Linked DNA regions of Macaca mulatta. The protein of the gene in region 6 interacts with the protein of the main gene of each other region in a pairwise test. Links are inferred from orthologs where the notes say so. Each region holds a gene or a part of one and is shown on either strand. Other genes may lie near its edges.

Region 1 (4,161 bases), on a different chromosome or scaffold from region 6:
TACACTATGCACTGGGGAATGTATAAGACAAGTTCATTCTCAAACTACAGTCGAGTTGGACAGATAAAACACACGACACACACCAGAAGATAACTATAAATCCAAGGCAGTGTATGTCAAGGGTAAATTCACTTATTCAAATTGGATCTTGAGAAGTGTATCTAACTTGGAAAATGGGTAAGGAGGAGAGAAAAGCAACAGTGAATCAGAACATGAGTTCCCAGTTATGGGACTTGTAATGAATTCCTCGATTAAAATAAAAAATAATGAAAACAAAAGCCAAGGAGGAGAAAGCCCATGTTGGTGACACTAAAATATATCTTTCCAAACAAATGTGGATAAAAGTTAAGTAGAGAAGATGAGAACTTTGAGGTCCCTAACACAAAACAAACAATAAGCAGCAAGCCATTCCAAGTGGCTGACATGACTTTGTTTCAAACTTTATTTATATTTCTGGCTGGTGTGTTTACAGCCAATAGGTCAAACTATCAGTGTAGAGCCCTGAGAAGTTGGGTATTTACGGAGCATCTAATACGCACAGAATTGTGCTCCATACTGCTTAAACTGTTCCCTAAGTGTCCAATTTGGAGAAAACACCCACGCGCAGGGTAACTAGCGAGTGACGCGGAGTGGCTGCGAGTCCATGTTATCACTAACGGATGGGGCGCTTTGAGCTGGGCACAGTCCAAGGTACTGAACCCTTCCCCCAGTTTCGCCTACATCCAGAGGTGTGTACCTTCAAAAAGCAGTGCCTTCAGGTCTCTTCTGGCACTGTCTGGACTCCGTTCCGAGGCAGACGAGGAAGCTGAGAAAACCCTGGCATTGACCCCGTGGACCTGGGCGCCCCGGGAAGGCCAGCGCTGGGTCCAGGCAGGCGGGGCCTGTGCGGTGATCACCCCGGGTCCCGGAAAGTCCCAGCCCTGAGCGCCCTCCTAGACCTGGAGGCCTGGAACAGCCAAGTGGACGTTGGCCCACTTGCTGCGGAAGAGAAAGCCTTTCTCTTCTTTCCTTCCCATTTTCCTACCACCTTCCACCCACTCCGCCTTCGGGGCAAAGGCAGCCAGATCCACCCAGGACACATTCTTTGTCCTTATCTTCTGTGCTCTCCCACAGCAAGCCAGTCGCGGTCCAAGGCCCCAGAGGCTGTGCAGGAGGCCGAGCTGGGTGGCGATCAGTGGCGGGTCCCTGTCCAAAATCCAGCAGAGCCGCCAGGGACGCTCCATACACAGACGGCGCAGCGCGGGTAGGGTGGGGAGACCACAGCGGGAGAGCCAGGAAGTGAACGAGGACTGACTCCTGTCGCTTCCCGTAGCCGCCCACGGACGCCCCAGCCGGGAACCGGACGGCACCTAGCGGCTGACAAACAACTTGCTCCGTGGAGCGCCTGAAACACCAGTCCTTGGGTGAGTAGCGCGACCCCCGGCCACTGGGACAGTCGCTAGGGGAGTGGCTGCTCTGAGGGCCTCGCCAGTGGAGGATGGCATTCGGATGTCACGCCTCCTAAATCACAATTTGATGGGTGGGACAGTGTCCAGTCCACCCCAACCCGCAGGTCCTCACCGCGGCAGAGCCGGGGCTGGGTGGCGGGGACGCTGCCTCTGCAGGCGAGGTTGCTCCGGGGCATAAGGGGTTATCAGGAGTCGCGGCCTTTCTTGTACATCCCTGGCTGGAGTCAGGCTGTTTGTCCTGGGGTGTCTCCTCGCTGCAAATCCACCGCACCTGTGCTGCTTTCTACCCTGTTCCCTCCTAACCTGAGGCCTAGAGCCACCTTCAAGTGGAGGAATCTGGGGAAGCTTCCGTCCCGGAATTTGTAGTGACATTGCTTTCCCTCCCTCTAACACGCGCTTTAGGATGCCGAGTCATTTGACTGCAGTATTAAACATTACAAAGGGCAAGTCATGTGACTTCCTTTGACCGTACGTGAAACTTAAGTGATGGCTTCTTGTGATGCATACGAAGTGGTCATGCTGGCGGGACCTGTCCCTGGGGATACTTCAGGGGTTGCGTGATTTAATGCAAGCCGATGATTTAAATTGGGTCACTCGCTGGTTATCACACATGTGTATGGCAACTCGGCATCCATTCTTTTTGCTCTTGTTCTTGCTTCCTGTATTGAGTCACGGAGCCAGAGTTTTGAGGTTTTGACTAACGAATTAAGTTAATGACATAGACTGGGGTTATATTTAGGTGGTAAACCAAGAGGGGTACAGTTTTTTTCTTAATAAAGAAAAAGTAATAGATTTGATCGGTGTGTATTGTTGGTGTGCGGTATAATGACAATTGCTGGAAGTAAAATACAGGAAGCTCTAGTTTCGTTTCCCCTTTAGTTCTGCTTAAAGTCATCGAGTTTTTCCTAGAGTTATTAAATGTAGTGTCCATGGGTGCTTTTATCTTAAAAAATGTGGCTAATGCTTTCCAACACTCCCCTGCCCTGTGATTTTTTTTTTTAAAGCAGCAGAGAAAATTGTATCTTAATAGTATTAAAATTATTGGATTTCCACACCTTGATTTGTTTAAATTGGAGGAAGAAGAGCAATTCTTTTTATTCACAATAATAATAGCTAACATAGCACTTACTCTTTCACTATTTTATTAACTCAATCCTCAGAACAAACCAATGATGTGAATACTGTAATTATTGTCCTTTTATGGAAATGAAAAGTGAAATGAATACCTCTGATAATTGTACAGGACTGTTTGATTAGTAATGGCCATTAATTAATTAGTTTGTTTTTTTGAGATGGAGCCTCGTTCTGTTGCCCAGGCTGGAGTGCAGTGGCACGATCTTGACTCACTTCAACCTCCACCTCCCAGGTTTAAGCAATTCTCCTGTCTCAGCCTCCTGAGTAGCTGGGACTGCAGGTGCATGCCACCACATCTGGCTAATTTTTGTATTTTTAGTAGAGATGGGATTTCACCATATTGTTCAGGCTGGTCTCGAACTCCTGACCTCAGGTGATCCACCCGCCTTGGCCTCCCAAAGTGCTGGGATTACAGGCGTGAGCCACCATGCCTGGCCTATTTTAGTATTTTTAATAATAAATTCCATGTTAGAAATTTTCTACTGATGTATTTTCTAAGTCAGTATTTCCTACACTCACAATCCAAAATTGTTTAGTATATGAGCACACTGGTAAGAATGGGAGGCAGATCTTTGATTGTAATAACATTCTATTATTTGGTAAATATCAGTAACATAATGTATAATTTAAATTTTAAAATAGGATATGAAGAAAAATGCTGCATGCTTACTTTTCTTTTCCTCTGTTTTTACTTTACACAGGGCCAGTGCCTCAGTTTCAATCCAGGTAACCTTTAAATGAAACTGGCCTAAAATCTCAGGTCATACACAGAAGAGACTCCAACAAGAAGCTGGAAAAGGATGATGTTGTCATTAAACAACCTACAGAATATCATCTATAACCCGGTAACTGAGTTCTAGAAAACAACGTTTTACCTATGCCAGGATTGAGAGCAGATCCAATACAATATTAATTATCCATTGGGAGACAGGGCAAAAATAAAAGCCAGCGAACATATTTAAAGCACCTACTATGTAATAGGGATGGTGGTGGGCGCTGACTACAAAACAGCTGTCGTCCTCTAGTGGAGGAAGAAGTCACGATGGCAATATGACGTGATGAAACAGTGTTATAAACAGGGAACGTCTGGGTAGAGTGGAGGGAATGCCAACTTTTGGTAATGGGAGGAGGCTCAGCTAATCATAAATTTTAGTTTTTAAAGGCAAATGGATTTCTTACTCTACAAGTTTTTCATTTTCTTTTTTAATTAGAGCTGTCCATGAGAAGTTAGTGTCCCGATCTTTCCCTCAGCCTTTCAAATACTGCTTGGCACTTGAGCAGGGAAAATGTCAAAAGCCAGTGGGGAGACGGAGAGTGAGAAGTAGTAAAGGGTCTCGTGCAGTTCAGGCTGGTCCTAGAACCCCTGAATGACTGTAATTGCTGGAAATTGCCCTGTAATCCTAAGCAGTAAAGAGCTTGTTTTAGTTTTATGTGGTGGTGAGAATCTTTAGGAATGTCTAGTTTCCACTTATTTGAAGCTGACTCCTGAATTGAGGTCTGGGAAAGGACAGCCACTTTTTTAGTAAACCCCCTAGAAGATTCTTGGGCAAAAGGAAGGGCGAGAATCCTTGAAATAAGG
Region 2 (3,983 bases), on a different chromosome or scaffold from region 6:
TTTTACCTTTACGTCAAGGTTGAGAACATTGACCTTCAGGTCTGTCATCCTGCTTAAGAGTTTCCGTGCTTTGTCTGTAAGATGGTGCTAAAAGCTTTACTCATGAGCAGTATTTGCTGGGTTATGTCGGTGGAGGACAGCGTGCTCTGCCTTGCTGGCTACTAAGTGCTGGGGCTGCAGCCTGACCCCTCCAGGTGCAATGCCACGTCCCCAGATGCTTAACTTGTGGTCTAGAGGTACCTTTTAAAAATCGTTGCAACCCTGCTTACAATTTTCCCCCTCCAAGTGGACAGCTTCGGGCATCCCTCACTGCCCCAGATTCTCAACGGGGTCTGGCGCCCACCGTTTTAGGGAGCGTAATTCCCAGAGCTCAGATGTCAACGAGACAAGAGCTACCGCTCAGTGGGCGTTTTCTCAGCCCTAAACTCCCGATCGACTCCGAGTCTCCTTGCCGGACCCGGAGCAAATCTCAGAGTCAACATGCGAGAAGCGGCAGCCGGGCGGCGGACCTCCGGCTTCCGGCACCCTCGCGCTTCCCGCCGGCACGAAGGACGCCTCTCGACAACCGCCCGCCTCTCAGAGGCCGAAGTCCTAGGCCCTCCGGCCTGCGCTGCCTGTCCACGGACGCGCTGGCCTCGGGACACCCACCAAAGCGGCAGGACTCGCCTCCGCCAGCTCCACAGCCCGGAACCTAGTACGCGCTCCTAGGAGCCGCACAGCGCAGATCAGGGGGCGGGCTTTCGGCCGCACCCCTTCACTGTTTCCCCGCCTTCTTTGTTTATTCGGGGCCCGTCATTGGCTGCTTGGCCTCGAAACCGGGCGAGCCGCGGGTCTTTGGAGAGACGCTATTGGACGAAGTCCCTGTCGCTCGGCCAGCGGCCCGCTCGCGATTGGTTGAGAAGCCGCCGGGGGTTTGAATCGCATCCCCGGCCGGGGAGGGTTCTGCCAAAGTGCCACGTTGGGCCCGGCGGCGGCGTGAAGACCGGCGGCAGCGTGAGAACCTGGCTCCCTACGTTCGCGCCGTAACGCCCGGCCGTTGGGGCCGTTGGGAGGCGCTAGGCGAGTCGAAGCAGCCGGCCGGTCGGCGGCGGTCGCCGGCGGGAACGGGGCTGAGGCGGCGCGGCGGAGCCTGGGCGGCGGCGCGTCCCGCCCGAGGGCGGCTCTGGCTGAGGGCGGAGGGGCCGGGGAAGAGCCCGGGGCAGCGGCTGAGGCGGGACGGCGGCGGCGGGGACCGTTGCCCCTAGAGGACCCAGCCGAGATGCTGGCGGAAAACCTGGTGGAGGAGTTTGAAATGAAGGAGGACGAGCCGTGGTACGACCACCAGGACCTCCAGCAAGGTGAGGGCGGGGGCGCCCCGCGGGCGGGCGGGCGGCGGCGGCGGCGGCCTGGCCCGGGAGGCCCCCGCTGCGAAACTGTTAAAAAGTTGCTTTTTCTGGCGGCTGAGGATGCAGGTGCCGGGAAGGGCTCGGGCTCACCTGGCGGCGGGGCCGGCCGTGCCCGTGGATCCCGCCCGCAGGAAGCCTCGGCGCGGGGCCCACGGCCCTGCTAATGCGCAGTTGAATATCAGACCCGAGGCGCATGGGGGCCAGGGACGCGCCAGGCACCGTTTTAAGCGCTTTCCGTGGATTAGCTAGTTTAATCCTCACTGCATTCCTCCGAGGCAGACCGGGTGAGCCAGTGTGTCCCGTAGTAAGTGGCAGAGCCCGAGAAGCCGCCCCCTCGCAGGCTGTGTAGCCCAGCGCCTTTCTTGGCCAGCACGGAGGGCCGGCTGCTGCAGGTGGTAGTGGTTTTGCGATGTAGCGGGAGCTGTGCGCTCTGCGCCGTAACTCTAGGAGACAGTAACTTTTAAAAAATTGATTAATTTTGAGGGTACATAGTAGGTGTATCTATTTATGGGGTACGTGAGATGTTTGGATACAGGCACGCAGTGTGAAATAAGCACGTGATGGAGAACGGGGCGTCCATCCCTTCCAGCATTTATCCATTGAGGTACAAACAATCCAATTACACTGAGAGTAACTTTTGTTATCCCATTTTCCAGATGAGGAAAGCGGAGGTTGAAACGGTTGAGTGGCTTGCCTAAAGCTAAGTGGGGGAGGGAGTGGTTTTTTGAACCCACACACTCAAAAGGAGGAGTTGTAGTCACTCCTCAAACCCCCATCCCTTCCTTACCATCCTAGTTAACAGTTTTTTTTCAGTTGGGAATTAAGCTGTTACGCATAGTTCACCAGATGCCAGTTGAAATGACAGAAGAGCGCTTCTACCTCTGCCACTTTTCTTCAGTTTGCATGCCAGCTTTCACTTAGAAATAGGCCTGCCGATGGTGTCTCCAGAGAACAATCATAGAGCAGCCAACACTTTGGGGCCAGTGGGGCCCCACTTTTTTTTATACTAATAGCAGGAGCTAGCAATTGGGGAACACTTTTGATGTGCCTAACACTGATAGGCCCATAACAGAGTTGCTCATTTATCTCCCAGTAACACAATAGAGGTGATAATGTTGGGGAGTGCTAGGGTTCCCCTTAAGACTCGAGAGCAAACATTCTTAACCGCTATACTGAACACTGTGAATAATCCTCAGGAATTTTTCCCGGCATCTTTGGTTTCTGCAATTCTATGTAAATGTTTTCAGCTCTAATCTTGCAGTGAAAATTAACATCTCATTTAGTTAAATATTGAATGATGCTGATGCTTGTTCATGCTAACCACTGAACATGGCAGATGCTTGTTCATGCTAACCACTGAACATGGCAGATGCTTGTTCATGCTAACCACTGAACATGGCAGAAGGAAACTGTGTAGACTTGAGTAACTCAGAAAAGGAAAATAAAACGAGCACCTCTTTTGGAGGAAGATAATTTCTTAAATTAACATGCAATCACTTTAACCAAAGTAATTCACCTTTATTACGCTTATAGAGTCCAAGCTGCTTAGTGGTTGCAGTGCAGTGTTTGGTGGCATCATCTTTATGTCCAAAGGACACATTTCTCATACGTTTTAACAAACCTGTTTTCAGATTTCCCCATAGGGATTGATGGCCTAGTTTGATAGTTTCTCCAGGATTTGTGAGGCAACCACTGTGCCATTGCAGTATTTCCCTATAATTTAATTTGTATCATCACAACTAAATATTTTTCTTTCCTGTATTTAAGAAGCATAGGCCGGGTGCGGTGGCTCACGCCTGTAATCCCAACACTTTGGGAGGCCGCGGCGGGTGGATCACAAGATCAGGAGTTTGAGCCCAGCCTGACCAACAAGGTGAAACCCCGTCTCTACTAAAAATACAAAAATTAGCCAGGCGTGCCTATAATTAGCATGTGCCTGTAATCCCAGCTACTCAGGAGACTGAGGCAGGAGAATTGCTTGAATATAGAAGGCCGAGGTTGCAGTGAGCCAAGATGGCGCCGCGGCACTCCAGCCTGGGCGACACGAGACTCTGTCTTAAAAAAAAAAAAAAATTTAAGAAGCATAAATCCTTAAGGGTATAGAGGGGGCAGGTTCTTTTTTCTGGTATTCCCAGCATCTAGCATAATACTTGGCACATACTGGAAGCTCGATTTTAGTATTTGTTGAACTGCACTGAAGCACTATCACAGAAGTGTTTTCATGGCTCTCTTCCATCAGGTGCCTTAGTCCACGCTGCGTTCTCCCACTGTTGGAGGTTGTTTGGAACCACCAGCTGTAACACTTCAGTCTATCAAGCAGCAAGTGCAGCGTGTCAGGGTTACAGGTGGAATTCTCTTTAACCTCTGATCAAAATAAAGTCATCAACTCTTCAAGTTTAACGTTAAAAACACAGGTCTGGCCAGGCGCGGTGGCTCACGCCTGTAATCCCAGCACTTTGAGAGGCCGAGGCAGGTGGATCACGAGGTCAGGAGAACGAGACCATCCTGGCTAACACGGTGAAACCCTGTCTCTACTAAAAATACAAAAAATAAAAAATTAGCCGGGCATGGTGGTGGGCGCCTGTAGTCCCAGCTGCT
Region 3 (3,500 bases), on a different chromosome or scaffold from region 6:
CACCCTGAGCAGAGCAGCCAGAGCCCTGTGCAGGCTGTGCCCAGCAGTGGAGATTCTCAGCCTGATGACCCTCCAGACAGGGGGACGGGGTTGTCCTCCTCACAGAGGGCCAGCCAAGACCACCTGTCAGAACAAGGGGCTGAAGACAGCAGGCCTGAGACAGATGGGGTTCCAGGTGATCGTGGCCAAAAGGAACACCTACCAAGCAGTGATTCTGAAGGGGAGAAGCCAGACAGAGGAGCCCTCAAGGAGGGAGGGGCCCAAAGGACAGCAGGGGCTGGCCTGCCTGGAGGGCCCCAGGAGGAGGGAGACAGTATCCCCTGTACCCCAGCATCAGCTCCTACCTTGGGCCCTGCTCTGGGACTGGGCCCTGCCTCTTGGTGCCTGGAACCCGGGTCTGTGGCCCAGGGCTCTCCTGACTCCCAGCAGACCCCCAGCAGGATGGGCAGGGAAGGGGAAGGGACTCATAGCAGCCTGGGATGCTCCTCCCTCGGGATGATTGTCATTGCAGACCTGAGCACAGACCCTGCTGAGCTGGAAGAGAGGGCTCTGGAGGTGGCTGGGCCCGATGGGCAGGCCAGCGCCATGTCACCTGCCTCTCCCAAGAGGAAGGCCGCTGATGGAGGCTACAGGAGGGCCCTGCCAGGCTGCACCCCACTCACTGGGGAAACCGCAGGAGAAATGGGGGAGGCAGGGCAGGATGACAAGCCCCCTGGCGATGTCCCAGTGGGCCCGACAGCCTCCCTGGCTCTGGCACCCGGGAGTGGAGAGTCCATGATGGGCGCTGGAGATTCCAACCATGCAGCCACGGACACGGGTCCATGTGTCGATCAAAAGCAGGAGCCAGGCCTTACTCCAGAGGCAGCCGAGTCAGGTGGCCAGGACCTCGAACAAGACCTTGAGGGGCTCCGTGTGTCCCCGCAAGCTTCTGTTCTGCCAGAACACAGAGAAGCAGCAGACAGCCCTCTCCAGGAGCCTGGGGCCCAGCAGGGCATAGACACCACCTCAGACCTGGCAGGGCAGCAAGACCACCTGCCTCATTCTGCAGACCAGGCCGCCTGGGCAGACTCTTCAGCTGTGGAACTCGACTTCCTGCTGGACAGCCAGATACAGGATGCCCTGGACGCTTCTGACTTCGAAGCCCCGCCTGAGCAGGTAAGAGCTGCCCCGAGTGACAGACATACCTGCCCAGGGCAGGCACCTAACCTCCACAAGCCCTCTCCTCACGTGGCACAGCGGTGGAGGGGGAGCTGGGGCTCAGGGCGTACCATTTACACAGCCAACGACTCTAGGAGTCTGAGTTGCAGCTCTATTGGATGTGGAGTCGGTGGTTTTCCAGAAAGTATAGACCTGCCTTTCGGTGGTTGTCTACATATCCAGGGATGGTGACACACAGCTGCTTTCTCAGCCGGGCCTCCCACATTGAACTGGAGTCCCCAGGAGTGCCAGCCCCTGGCAGCTTCTGATTCAGTGCCTGACCCTGGCTGTGGGGTCCCGGGGCATGTATTGAGGGCGGTGGACACAGTGGGGTGATGGAGAGAAGCTGGGCCTGGGGAGGGGGCTTCACTCCCAAGCTGCAAAAGAGCCTTTGCCCATCTCCTTAGGGTCCTCTGGGGGTCCTGATATGATTCTTTCCCAAACATACATAAGTCATTTTGTTTTTCTGCCAGAACTTGTAAGGGCTTTGCCTCCTTCAGGGATCTGCCTGCCCCACTGGCTGCCCAGATGTGGCCTCCTCTGGCTCCAGAGCTGGTGCCAGCTGTTGGCATTCGTTCTCCTGTCTGGGCAGGTGGCAGCCTTGCTTCAGCCCTGCCCCCCAGGGGAAGAGTGACCTCCCCAGCTGTTGGCACACCTGAGCCTGGGCTGAGGGCGTCACAGTCACACCCTGGGAGGCAGGCGGTTCTCTGTCCACACACTGGGTGTAGCAGCGAAGACTCTGGAAGAGTTCATGCACCTGTTGGAGGTGAGGCAGGCGGGAGGGGAGGAAGCCAGGCTGGCACCCAGGTCATGCCCCAGCTGCCGCATCCTGGAACACAGAGCCAAATTTGCCTTTCAAATGTCAGCCTCTGTTTCTTTGCTGTCCCTGTGTCGAGATGTAAAAAAAAAAAAAAAAAAATTCATGGCCAGGCACAGTGGCTCCCACCTATAATCCCAGCACTGGGAGACCGAGGCAGGAGGATCACCCGACGTCAGGAGTTCAGGACCAGCGTGGCCAACGTGGTGAAGCCCCATCTCTACCAAAGTACAAAAATTAGCTGGGCGTTGTGGCATGTGCCTCTAATCCCAGCTACTCTGGAGGCTGAGGCAGAAGAATCGCTTGAACCCGGGAGTCGGAGGTTGCAGTGAGCTGAGATGACACCACTGCACTCTAGCCTGGGTGACAGAGCAAGACTCTGTCTCAAAAAAGAAAAAATTGGCCGGGCGCGGTGGCTCAAGCCTGTAATCCCAGCACTTTGGGAGGCCGAGACAGGCAGATCACGAGGTCAGGAGATCAAGACCATCCTGGCTAACATGGTGAAACCCCGTCTCTACTAAAAAATACAAAAAAACTAGCCGGGCGAGGTAGCGGGCTAAAATAAAATACAAAAAAACTGTAGTCCCAGCTACTCGGGAGGCTGAGGCAGGAGAATGGCGTAAACCCGGGAGGCGGAGCTTGCAGTGAGCTGAGATCCGGCCACCGCACTCCAGCCTGGGCGACAGAGCGAGACTCCGTCTCAAAAAAAAAAAAAAAAAAAAGAAAAGAAAATTAGCCAGGCATGGGGATGCATGGCTGCAATCCCAGCTACTTGGGAGGCTGAGGCAGGAGAATCACTTGAGCCCGGGAGGTTGAGGTTGCAGTGAGCCGAGATTACGCTACTGCACTCCAGCGTGGGTGCCAGAGACCCTGTCTCAAAAAAAAAAAAAAATTGGTGAGTCACAGTGCAGTTCAGTGGTAGAGGCTGAACACGAGCGTGTGGGAAAGGCAGGAGTTCTGTTGCTGGGCGCAGCTGAAATTTTATGAGAGCCTCATGCCTTGCAAAATGCAAATCCCTCACTTAAGAGCCGCCTCCATTGCCTCCAGTCTGTGTTCTCGTGGGTGGTGGCTTGGAGAGAAGGCTGGGAAATGGTTAAGGTGTTTGGGGCCAGGTGCAGCTAAGTGGCATCCAGCAGGTGAAGCCCCTAACCCTCCTAAATGGGCTGCCAAACTGCGAGCTTGGAAAAAGACCCTGAAATCCAGACTCGGGGGGATCCAGACGGACAGCTGGCTGGTCAGACCTGACCAGCACCGGCAGCCTTTCCCCTGCCAGGGGAGGAGGCACCGCCCTGACAGCACTGCCAAGGCCTAGGCATGTTTGGTTTTGACACGAGGCGTTCCCTAGCAAGTCAAGGCGACCCAGGCAAGGAACACATTCCCGTGGGAAGGTTCCGGGTGGCTCCTGGCAGGAAGGCCAAGGCCCATGTCTCCCGGCATGGGCAGGGGCACGGGGAATAGCAAAGATGGATTGAGAGGGCCGTCTCAG
Region 4 (3,002 bases), on a different chromosome or scaffold from region 6:
GGTCATCTGGAAAAGAATGAACCAGTGTCTGATACAGGAGTCCCCCAGAGTTGGGGCCTTCCAGTAGCTTTAGGACTCCCCACCAACTCTGAAGGGGAAGCAAGAAACCTGTGATTACCCAGGATGAGCCCTTGGGATAGGGTTCAGGCCTTCACAGGCAGGCCTCAGTGTGACATCAGTTTCTTCAAGTCATGGGGGGACAGGCAGGACAGAAATGTGCTATCTCTTTTGTTTAGTGGCTACAGTATAGACTGTGGCAATAAATGGGATTTGGGTTTATATCCTAACTCTTACCACTTACTAGTTGTGCAAGCTTGCCTTCACCTCTCTGAGCTTTGGTTTCTTTGTCAAGTGAGAATAACATTTGTATCATCATTAGAAATTGTCATGAGAATGAAATGAGATGATGTTTGTAAAGCACTTAGCACATGTCCAGCTCATACTTGGTACTCAGTGACTGCTGGCTACTGTCCTTATTGTCATCAGGACTTCAGTGAGCCAGGCCTCAGGATTGCTCCTGGAGACCCCAGTCCAGCCTGGTGAGTGTGTCTGGCTGTGGGGAGAGCACAGGGGCAGTTGGGCTGCCTGAAGCAGGGAACAAGATCAGATAAAACTCAGCAGGCTGGGAGGGAGCATGAGAAAGTGGGAGGCTGGGAGGCTAGGTCAGAAGGAGAAGAAGAAGAGACTTTCTAGATAGGCTAGAGGTTGGCACAGTTGCACTTGTGTCAAAGGAGATGGTCTTCATTTCGGCCCTCTCTCTGCCACTTCCTGCAAGATTTATCTTCCACTCACTGTTTATCCCCAGCCCCTAAGTGCCATCACCACATACCCAGCCTACTCAGACGTTCAGATTAGTAAGTGTTTACTGAGATAGTGTTGGGTGTTGAGGGGCTGCTGGATGGGTTCCTGTCCCTAATAGTGCAATGGGGGCTATTAAACTAATATACCCTCTTCAGAAGTTGTAGAACCCTGTGCCAAACTTTGGTGGGTGTTCTAGAGTCTACAACAAATGTCCCGTTTCTTCCTAGCTTTCTCTCTCCCTAAAGGAGAACATGAGGTTGTCACTCGCTCAGATGAAGGAAGTGTGGCCTCTCTTGGTCTGGCCCAGCGAGTACCATTAAGAGAAAACCGAGAAATGACACATACCAGGGTGAGATGCAACTCTCCTGGGATGGTGGGTGGGAGGTGCAGGAGATGCTTGGGAGAATTTCGCAGCAGCAGCCAACACTGAGAATTGTAGGTAGAGCCAGGCAGTCTTGGGCCTCAGGATGTTATTGGGTAGGTTTACCCCAGATGCACCCAGTCCCTCTCCAATGTGAAACTGACCTCTCTTTATCAAATGTCTAGGGCCTGGGGTGAGAGATCATATTTGTATCACCGTCAGATCAGTGCTAAGGGTGAGACAGATCTGCCACTTGTCAGCCAAAAGGATTCATCCCTTCGCTTCACAAATATTTACTGAGTAGCACCAGCCTACTGAGTGCCAGGCCGTGTTCTAGGCTCTGGACATACAGCAATAAACAAGTTCATATTCTAGAAGGGGGAGACAAGAAATAAACACATATATAAAATAGTGTCTCAGATGACTGTAAGTTCTCTATAAAAAAATAATAAAAATAATAGGGCACTAAAGGGGAATTGGGAGCAGGGGAGTTGGTGTTGCAATTTAAAATAGATTGGTCAGGGAACTCTTATTGAGAAGATGATGTTTAAGTGAAGACCAGGGGTTGGAGGAGGAGTGAGATATGTTGATATCTGGGGGAAGGAATGTTCCAGGCCAAGAGAACTGAAAAGGCAAAGGCCCTGGGGAGGGAATGTGCCTGGCATATTTGAGGATCGGCAAAAAGGAGAGGCCAGTGAGATTGAAGCAGAGTAAGGAGAGCGGTAGGAGATATGGTTTTAGTGATAACACGATCAGATTGGGTAAGGAATTGTACACTAGTGGGAAGCCATGGGGAGAAGGGTTGATCAAGAAAGTGACATGATTTGACTTAGGTCTTTTTTTTTTTTTTTTTTTTTTTTGAGACGGAGTCTCGCTGTGTCGCCCAGGCTGGAGTGCAGTGGCCGGATCTCAGCTCACTGCAAGCTCTGCCTCCCGGGTTTTTACGCCATTCTCCTGCCTCAGCCTCCCGAGTAGCCGGGACTACAGGCGCCCGCCACCTCGCCCGGCTAGTTTTTTGTATTTTTTAGTAGAGACGGGGTTTCACCGTGTTAGCCAGGATGGTCTCGAACTCCTGACCTCGTGATCCGCCCGTCTCGGCCTCCCAAAGTGCTGGGATTACAGGCTTGAGCCACCACGCCCGGCCTTTTTTTTTTTTTTTGAGACGGAGTTTCACTCTTGTTGCCCAGGCTGGAGTGCAGTGGCATGATCGCCACTCATCACAACCACCGCTTCCCAGGTTCAAGTGATTCTCCTGCCTCAGCCTCCTGAGTAGCTGGGATTACAGGCATGCACCACCACGCCTGACTAATTTTGTAGTTTTAGTAGAGACAGGGTTTCTCCATGTTGGTCAGGCTGGTCTCGAACTCCCGACTTCAGATGCTCTGTTCTCCTTGGCCTCCCAAAGTGCTGGGATTACAGGCCTGAGCCACCATGCCTGGCTTGACTTAGGTCTTAAAAGAATCACGCTGGCTGCTGTAGTGAGAACAAGATATAGGAAGACAAAGGGGGCAGGGATCACTCTTCCACCTTTTTCTTCTTCACAGGACAGCCGTGACTCCCACCTGATGCCCTCCCCTGCCCCTGTGGCCCAGCCCTTGCCTGGCCATGTGGTGCCATGTCCATCACCCTTTGGACGGGCTCAGCGTGTACCCTCCCCAGGCCCTCCAACTGTGGTTTGTGTCAACAACTGGGGGCTGGGCAGGGGCAGAACAGTCTGGCCAGAGATCCTTGCTAGGTCTGCTAAGCCACCCACATCTCTCCCCAGACCTCATATTCAGTGTTGCGGCGTCTCACCATTCAACCTAAAACCCGATTCACGCCCATGCCATCAACCCCCAGA
Region 5 (4,054 bases), about 70 Mb from region 6:
TTAGATAATTTAAATTCCCCAAATAACACCACTGTAAATGGATTTTGAGAAAATTCCGGAGAAACGCGCCATTTTGGATTGACTTTTTAAAATCTCCGGAAGAATAATGTTGCATGTAGATATTTTAAATTCCAGAGACCTACACTTAGTATATTAATTATTTCAAAATCGAAAGATAAAGTTAAAATTGTTAATTCATCCTCATAGATTTGGTTCAAAAAATCAATCTATGATTATATATCTCTCTAGGTTTTAAAAATAAAACCAACCAAAGACCGCACTTAAAACTTTTGAAAACAAAAGTATAGTTCAGCGTTGATTGTGTTTTAACCAAGCAAACAGAACCTCTCAGAAAAATCACTTAGGGATGCAAAAGAGAAACAAACAGATTAAGAAAGTGTAAAGAAACACTCAGCTGTGTATTAAGAAATGAACAGAAGAAACGAGCAGAAGAGGCGCCCATGCCGGGGAGCTCTGAGCCCCTCGGGGACCCAGGCGGCTGTGCTGGGCAGCGGATTCGCTACCCTACTGCCCGCGCCGGCCACCCCCGGGCCCAGTTCGCTGCTGGAAAAAAGCTCCAGCTCGTACAAAAAGGCAGCGCGGAGGGAGACGCGCCGGAGCCGGGGCGGGGGCCAGGGCCGGGCAGCTCCGGGCTTCGGCTGCACACGTGGGCCGGATCCCTCGATCGGGGTTCGGGCTGGCCTTGCTGGGAGTCCGGCCGCGCCTCTTGGCCCGCTCGCCCTCACCGTCTTCTGTGTCTTCCTTCTACTTGATGACCCCCTCTCCCCGTTTACCCTTCCCGCCCGCCCCTTCTCTTTGGCCTCTCTCTTTCATTCTGTCGCCTACTGTCACGGTGTTAGCCTCTCTCTCTGTCTCTCTGAGGGCGTTCTCTCGCCCGTCACCCCCATTCCTTTCTCGGTCTGCTCCTCTCCCTTCGTCCGAGTCGCTTCTTAGTGCCCAGTTGCGCAAATCCAATTTTCCCCCGTTCTATTTACTCCTGATCAAGAGGGGCTGTCAGTCCAACCCTCTAGCTGTAGGCTCATGCATCTGCCAGTCTGTTGGCGCGTGGGGACCGCGTGGAAGTGCCTTCGCGTATGCGTTAAGTTTCCGCGTTCACCATCAGGTCGAGAACGGGAAAAAGAAAGCTCCTGACGCTTCTGGGGCGGAGAGGGAGCTTGGTTGCACGGCGCGGGCGTCAGGCCCTGCTCCCAGCTCCCCGTGCCCCGCGCCCAAGTAGGCTCCGTGCGCGCCGCGAGGGGAACGGCGCTTACCTGGCAGCTCGGTGTCAGACGACTCGCTGGCGGAGTTCTCGAGCTGCTCGCGGTGGTCGGCGGGCCGGGCCAGGTGGAAGGCGGGCCCCATGTCATGGGGTGGCGGCGGCGGCGGCCGGAGCCCCTCCGGTAGCCGCTCCAGGCTCATGCCCCCCTTGAAGGCGTCCATGGAGGTGGGGACCGCGGCGGGCGCTCCAGGGGCCGGGGCTGGGCGCGCCCCGCCGCCCTGGCTGCGACCTGCGGGGACAAGAGCGCAGCGCCTAAGCAGCTGCCCTCCAGGGCTGCCGGCGCCCGCAGCGACGCCGTACCCGCCCCATGGACCGCCCGGGGCTGCGGGGCCGGGCGGGCAGAGGCGGCGGCAGCTTCTCGCGACCGGGCGCCTGGCTTAGCGCTCTGTGCTGCGCTTCTGCCGCTCGGGCCTCAGCAGCCGGGCCGGCCCCGGCTCCGGCTCCGACTCGCGATCCGGGGCCGGTTTCTAAGGCTCCGGACGGCGCCGGCAGAGTCTGTCTTAAAGCGACAGCGCGCACAGCCAGGTTCCAGCAGTCCCTGCGCCAGGGGTGCTGGGTGGGGTGGGCCTGGGTGGGAGGGGGCTGGGGAGGGAGCGAGCGAGCGAGGGAGCGCGGGCGGAATCCAGCCCCAAGCCGCCCGCGCCGCCGCGCCCTCTCTGCCGCCCTCCCTCCCTCCCTGCCTCGCCCGCGCCCTCCCCCTCCGCAGCCACCTTCCCGCCGCCTCCCCGCCCCCCGCGGCCTCGCCGCGCCTCTCCCTCCTTCCCCGGTGACACACCGAGTTCTCCCTCGGCCTCACAAAAGAAACGCATCTGGGCTGCAAGTCCCGGGCGGCTCGTGCCCACCTCAGGCCCCAAATGACTTGTTTCGCCTAGAATCAACTCCCGTCTCGGCCGCCTCGAAGTCCCCAGCGCTGGCGAGAACAGCCCAGGATGAGTGAATGTTTGCCGAGCAGGATCGCACGGAGCGGGCGCCTTCGAGCCAGCGCCGGGGCGGGGGCAGAGCCCGGGGCCCGTTCCGGCAGCTCCCAGCGGTGTCCTCGTCGAGGGGCCGCCTGCCCCTCCTTCTCCAGCCTCTTCTCCCGGGAACTCAGCCCGGCTGAGTGACAGCAGCCTGCGCTCTAATGGGCCCCCGGATGCTGCCTCCTAATTAGCTTGGACCTTCTCCCCTAAGGCTGCTTCTCAGGCCTCCCTCTCTGCACCGCAGTCAATTTTCCGGGATTGGGATAGAAATGATGGCTTCTAATCAGACGAAACGTTTCTGCTGGCTCTAGGCGTTTGGAGAATGCAGAGGGAAGACCCCAGAATCCCAGCCAGGCCCCACAGCCTCTTCTACCTCTCCCCTTGTTTTACACCTTACACTTTGGCCAAATGGGCCAGGCCTGGCCTTGGCAGGCATGGGGTTGGCCTTGGCAGCCTTTGCCCTCCTTCAGGGTAGCTTTGTCCCAGCCTGGGGCCTGCATCCTGGCTTCCCAGGGCTTCAGGCACAGGCCTGGTAGGCCAGGTGACTGCTGTCTCCCAACCCTGGGCCAGCAGCCCAGGAAGCCCTCAGTCTTCCAGCTTCTCTCCCACACAGTGGTAGCTGAGTTGCAGCTCCAATGGGCCTTCACTGGGCACAGGCAAAGACATTACTCTCCCACTCCCAAGAGTGATTCCCTCCTCAAGTCCTTGCACGTAGGTGAAGTTTGTCGAAGGATTTTGCTCAACAATTGTTACCTGGCCCCAAGACCTCAGCGTCTTGAGCAAACAGGCCACAGCTGGGGCGGCAAGGCGCCGCCCTGACCTGCTTCTCTGGCCATAGGCGGACCCCAGACTGCCCTCTGCCCCTCACCTGTGACCAGCTCCACCAGACACAGCAACCCAAGGGAGCAGCGCCAGGGAGATTGTCGGTCTGGGAAAGAAGCAGGGAGGTGTCCAGTGTCCTCACCCCAAAACCCAGTGCCTCCTCAACTCCTGGGTGGGTGGCACTGACTGCGCAGGTGTCGGCGTCTGGGGCACTCTGCAGGTTCTGCCTTTGAGTCCTCGCCTTACCCCTTCGCATCACAGGGAGACACCCACGGTCAGCTGAGCTCCTTGTGAGGGCGGCTGGGGCCAGGGGCAGGCACACAGGCTGGAACCAGACCTGCCTTCCATTCCCTCCATGTTAGTCCAAAGCACCCCTGCCCCCATCCCCCACTCTGGGCCATGGAGAGACAGCACAGCTCCTTAGGGCCTGGCCCTTTCTCACTGTGCGTCTGTGACCATAGAATGCAGGGTCTGAGGCCAGAGGGATGACACTTCCCAGGAGTTTGGGTTGGGGAGGCTCAGTGACTTCTGCCTTCTTCCAAGCTGAGATCTCCCTCCATGAAATGAGTCTTGGTCATGGGCAGAGGAACATGGGGAAGCACAGTTGCCCAGCATTTGCCCTCAGCCCCACCTTTACCACGTTTCTTGGAGTCTCCAGTAGAAGATCCCTCCTTTCAAGGAGATATTCAGGTGCTGCAGCATGCTGGGGAGTGTCCCTTCACACACCATTCTCCTTTTAGCTGTCTTATCCCATAGAACAGCCTGAGTGCAGACAGCATGGGGGCACGCGCGCACACGCACATCCTATACATCCATGCGGAGATGCTGTGCACACACATGTACTCACTGCACTATGGAAGCGCTGAGTTTAGGCATATGTGTGCTACTTGGCATGAACGCCGGCTGGCATGGGATAGGAGGTGTGTTCTAACCCCGCCACATGTCAGGCCAAGGTGGGAAGCACCGTGCGTCTCTGGGCAGAGACTTAGAAATG
Region 6 (3,500 bases):
AAATTCTATTGTGATTTTTTTTGTTTTTGAGTCGGAGTCTTGCTCTGTCGCCTAGGCTGGAGTGCAGTGGCACAATCTCGGCTCACTGCAAGCTCCACCTCCCAGGTTCATGCCATTCTCCTGCCTCAGCCTCCCAAGCAGCTGGGACTATAGGCGCCCACCACCGTGCCCGGCTAATTTTTTGTATTTTTAGTAGAGATGGGGTTTCACTGTGTTAGCCAGGATGGTCTCGATATCCTGACCTCGTGATCCACCCACCTCGGCCTCCCAAAGTGCTGGGATTACAGGCATAAGCCACCGCGCCTGGCCTGTGAATATTTTTTCTATATTTAATTGAATTTTTTTTTTTTTGAGGCAGGTTCTCATTCTGTCACCCAGGTGGGAGTGCAATGGCACAATCATGGCTCATAGCAACCTCAACCTCCTGGGCTCAAGTGATCCTCCCACCTCAGTTTTTTATTTTTTTGTAGAGACAGGGTCTCACTGTGTTGCCCAGGCTGGTCTTGAACTCCTGACCTCTAGCAGTCCTCTTGCCTTGGTGTGCCAAAGTGCTGTGATTACAGGTGTGAGCCACGGTGCCTGACCTAAATGGATTTGATAACGTGAAACTTTCCCCTTTTTAAAAAATGTAGGATGAATTGAAGTATGTGTATATATGAATAATAGATAGAATTATACATGGGTAGCTGTTCCCTAGCTGTTTCTCTTTCTCATGGGGAACCGATGTTCCAGTGTTACTGGTGTCCTATGTATCCTTCCAGGAAGACAGTACGTTTATACAACAATATAAAAATTTGCTCTTTCCCCACCTTTATGCAAAAATGAGTATATTCTATTTATCATTTTTGTTTTAATCATATGAAATCATTCTGTGTGTACATGAAAAACGTCATCTTTCTCACTATCCTATATAGTTTTATAGTATTATGAATGTGCCATAATTTATTTTCCAAGCTGATATTGATGTGTATTTACTTTGTTTCCAATTTTTTGCTAATGCAAATGATGCTTTAAGGACTAACATACAGATTTTGTCACACATGTCTAATATGCTCGTAGGATAAATTCCTGCAACTAGAATTACTGAGTTACTTAAACTTGGTAAGTATTGACAGGTTGCCCTTCATAAAAGCTGTATTGCTCAATAAACATTTCATAGCAATTAGTAATGTATGACAGTGTCTGCTTTCCCACACCTTCACTAACAAAGTGTTACCAACATTTTTGATCTAATCTGAAAAAAAAAGTATTTGATGTAGCTTTGATTTGCATTTTTTTGTTTCTTTATTTTTTTGAGACCGAGTCTCACTCTGTGATCTTGGCTCAGTGCAGCCTCCGCCTCCCAGGCTCAATCGATTATCCTGCCTCAGCCTCCTGAGTAAACTGGGATTACAGGCGCCCACCACTATGCCTGGCTAATTTTTTTGTATTTTTACTACAGAAGGAATTTCACCGTGTTGTCCAGGCTGGTCTCGAACTCCTGACCTCAGATGATCCACTTGCCTCGGCCTCCCAAAGTGTTGGAATTACAGGCATGAGCCACCGTGCCTAGCCTTAATTTGCATTTTTCTTGTTATGAGTTAGATTGAACATCTTTTCATGTAAAGAATTTTCATCGTCTTTTCTGTGAACAATTTTTTTTGTTTCTTATTTTTATTTATTTTTCTCTTCCCAAACCCTTATTTACATTGAAAGACTAAATTTAAATTTCTTTTGAACCATAATAATATACAAAGCAATTATGAATTATCACTTCATGGTGAAAGATATTTGTATCTCAAGCCCAAAGTCCAAGTTAATTACAGAGTTAGGTTTAAAATCGTAGTAGATTTAGTCTGATTTCTGCCTTGGGTTTTCTGTTTTTTACCTTGTGTTGTGTGTTTGATGATGTTGAGCTTAATTGTTTTTAAATTATTTTACTAGACTTTATGTAAGCACTAGGAACTTGGTATTTAAAATACCCTGTTCCTGAGGGTTTTTTGGTCCAACAGGGAAAGACAGACTAGAAAACCAAGGTATTAAAGCATTTTGGGTGTTATGGTAGACACTTATACAGAGTACTTGGGGGCCCAAAGGACAAGTATAGTCCTTTCCTCAGTATTAGCATGAAGAAACATGAAACAGTTTCTCATGTTCTGAGAACTATAAGCTGTTGGATATAGTTGGAGCACAGGGTCAGAAGAGTGTGGCAGTGAAGCAGTAGAACAGGGACCAGATTGTAGTGGGTCTTGAATGACAGGAGTTTGAGGTATGATTGAATAGTACAGTGGGTATTTTAAAAAAATTAATGAAACACTACAAATATACTTAGAAATAAGTGCTGAAAATGCTTTATTGCTATAAATACAATTTGTTGACTATTTATAAAACATAAACATATGGACTTGAGAATCAGAATATGCTGATAAATAGCCTTTCTTTTGACTGACTGTGTAGCCTTGTGCAAGTCATGTGTCTGTAACTAGAATTAGATAGACAAACTAATTTCTGATTCAGAGCTATATTTATTGATAGAGCACAGGAATTGAAATTTAAGGTGACTGCTTTTTTGACTTTGTATTATTTAATGTACATTAGATACCAGAAACATGAAAGTTAGTTGTAGTCTTTTCTTAACAAGTTCTTTATCATTAACAGGGGTAATTGTTAGCACGTATTTTAGATTATTTTTGTTGAAATTAATGATAGTTTATTTGTGTTGAAATTAATGATGGGTTAGGTAGTTGCAGAGAAATTGCTTAAGAACCCGCCTTCAGTAGAATTACATATTGTTTGTACAGATTCAGATGTAATGAGTGAAATCATAATTTTCAAAAGATAATGAAGATGTTAGTTTACAGCATCTTTGCCCCTAACACTACTATTAGTATTTCAAAGATATTTCGTTACGATATAATTTTGGCAGGGTCTGTCAGATGGAATGACTTAAAAGTGATTTAAGATTTTACAACTTACATAGTTCTTTTTCATGGAGGAATAAAGTAACAATGTTGATTCAATATATTAGGTGAATTTTCTTATATACCTAAAATATGTATGCTTTTAAAATGGTTTAAAGAGTACATCCTTCGTTTTCAAATATTAGGTGCTAGAGTGTGGAGTTTGTGAAGACGTCTTTTCTTTGCAAGGAGACAAAGTTCCTCGCCTTTTGCTTTGTGGCCATACAGTCTGTCATGACTGTCTCACTCGCCTACCTCTTCATGGAAGAGCAATCCGTTGCCCATTTGATCGACAAGTAACAGACCTAGGTAGGAAAAGTATTTGTATGGATTTAAGATTGAAAATTGTTCATGTAATGCAAATGTCATAGAAAACAATTTCCTTCCACTTGATTTTTAGAATGATAAAATTCCCAGAAAGTTTCAGAAAGCCTGAGTTTCTATTAAGGTGAATAATCTTCAAGCTATAAACTATCTCACGCTTAGTTACTAATTTTATTTTGTCTTCTGAGATGTTTATATTCAATACTTACCTGTAAAGAGCTTTAAGACACCTGAGAA

Evidence for each region.
Region 1: the proteins of TRIM23 (region 6) and LGALS8 interact in binary tests that used the Homo sapiens proteins (3 or more experiments, as listed by UniProt). The link is inferred for Macaca mulatta from reciprocal best matches to the Homo sapiens genes TRIM23 and LGALS8.
Region 2: the proteins of TRIM23 (region 6) and CDR2 interact in binary tests that used the Homo sapiens proteins (3 or more experiments, as listed by UniProt). The two-hybrid records come from large-scale screens. The link is inferred for Macaca mulatta from reciprocal best matches to the Homo sapiens genes TRIM23 and CDR2.
Region 3: the proteins of TRIM23 (region 6) and BRME1 interact in binary tests that used the Homo sapiens proteins (3 or more experiments, as listed by UniProt). The two-hybrid records come from large-scale screens. The link is inferred for Macaca mulatta from reciprocal best matches to the Homo sapiens genes TRIM23 and BRME1.
Region 4: the proteins of TRIM23 (region 6) and TROAP interact in binary tests that used the Homo sapiens proteins (3 or more experiments, as listed by UniProt). The two-hybrid records come from large-scale screens. The link is inferred for Macaca mulatta from reciprocal best matches to the Homo sapiens genes TRIM23 and TROAP.
Region 5: the proteins of TRIM23 (region 6) and PITX1 interact in binary tests that used the Homo sapiens proteins (3 or more experiments, as listed by UniProt). The link is inferred for Macaca mulatta from reciprocal best matches to the Homo sapiens genes TRIM23 and PITX1.

What each region holds. Positions count from the first base shown.
Region 1 is NC_133406.1:12,556,884-12,561,044, reverse strand, and holds the start of LGALS8 (galectin-8), read left to right. Parts: upstream 1-1,361; 5' UTR 1,362-1,403; intron 1,404-3,283; 5' UTR 3,284-3,382; coding exon 3,383-3,427; intron 3,428-4,161.
Region 2 is NC_133425.1:21,841,763-21,845,745, reverse strand, and holds the start of CDR2 (cerebellar degeneration-related protein 2), read left to right. Parts: upstream 1-1,183; 5' UTR 1,184-1,258; coding exon 1,259-1,337; intron 1,338-3,983.
Region 3 is NC_133424.1:14,475,526-14,479,025, reverse strand, and holds part of BRME1 (break repair meiotic recombinase recruitment factor 1), read left to right. Parts: coding exon 1-1,155; intron 1,156-3,500. UniProt on the Homo sapiens protein: Meiotic recombination factor component of recombination bridges involved in meiotic double-strand break repair.
Region 4 is NC_133416.1:56,495,530-56,498,531, forward strand, and holds part of TROAP (tastin), read left to right. Parts: intron 1-486; coding exon 487-539; intron 540-1,028; coding exon 1,029-1,150; intron 1,151-2,706; coding exon 2,707-2,835; intron 2,836-2,927; coding exon 2,928-3,002. UniProt on the Homo sapiens protein: Could be involved with bystin and trophinin in a cell adhesion molecule complex that mediates an initial attachment of the blastocyst to uterine epithelial cells at the time of the embryo implantation.
Region 5 is NC_133411.1:143,947,457-143,951,510, forward strand, and holds the start of PITX1 (pituitary homeobox 1), read right to left. Parts: upstream 2,801-4,054; 5' UTR 2,089-2,800; coding exon 2,055-2,088; intron 1,509-2,054; coding exon 1,272-1,508; intron 1-1,271. UniProt on the Homo sapiens protein: Sequence-specific transcription factor that binds gene promoters and activates their transcription. May play a role in the development of anterior structures, and in particular, the brain and facies and in specifying the identity or structure of hindlimb.
Region 6 is NC_133411.1:73,707,784-73,711,283, reverse strand, and holds part of TRIM23 (E3 ubiquitin-protein ligase TRIM23), read left to right. Parts: intron 1-3,085; coding exon 3,086-3,248; intron 3,249-3,500.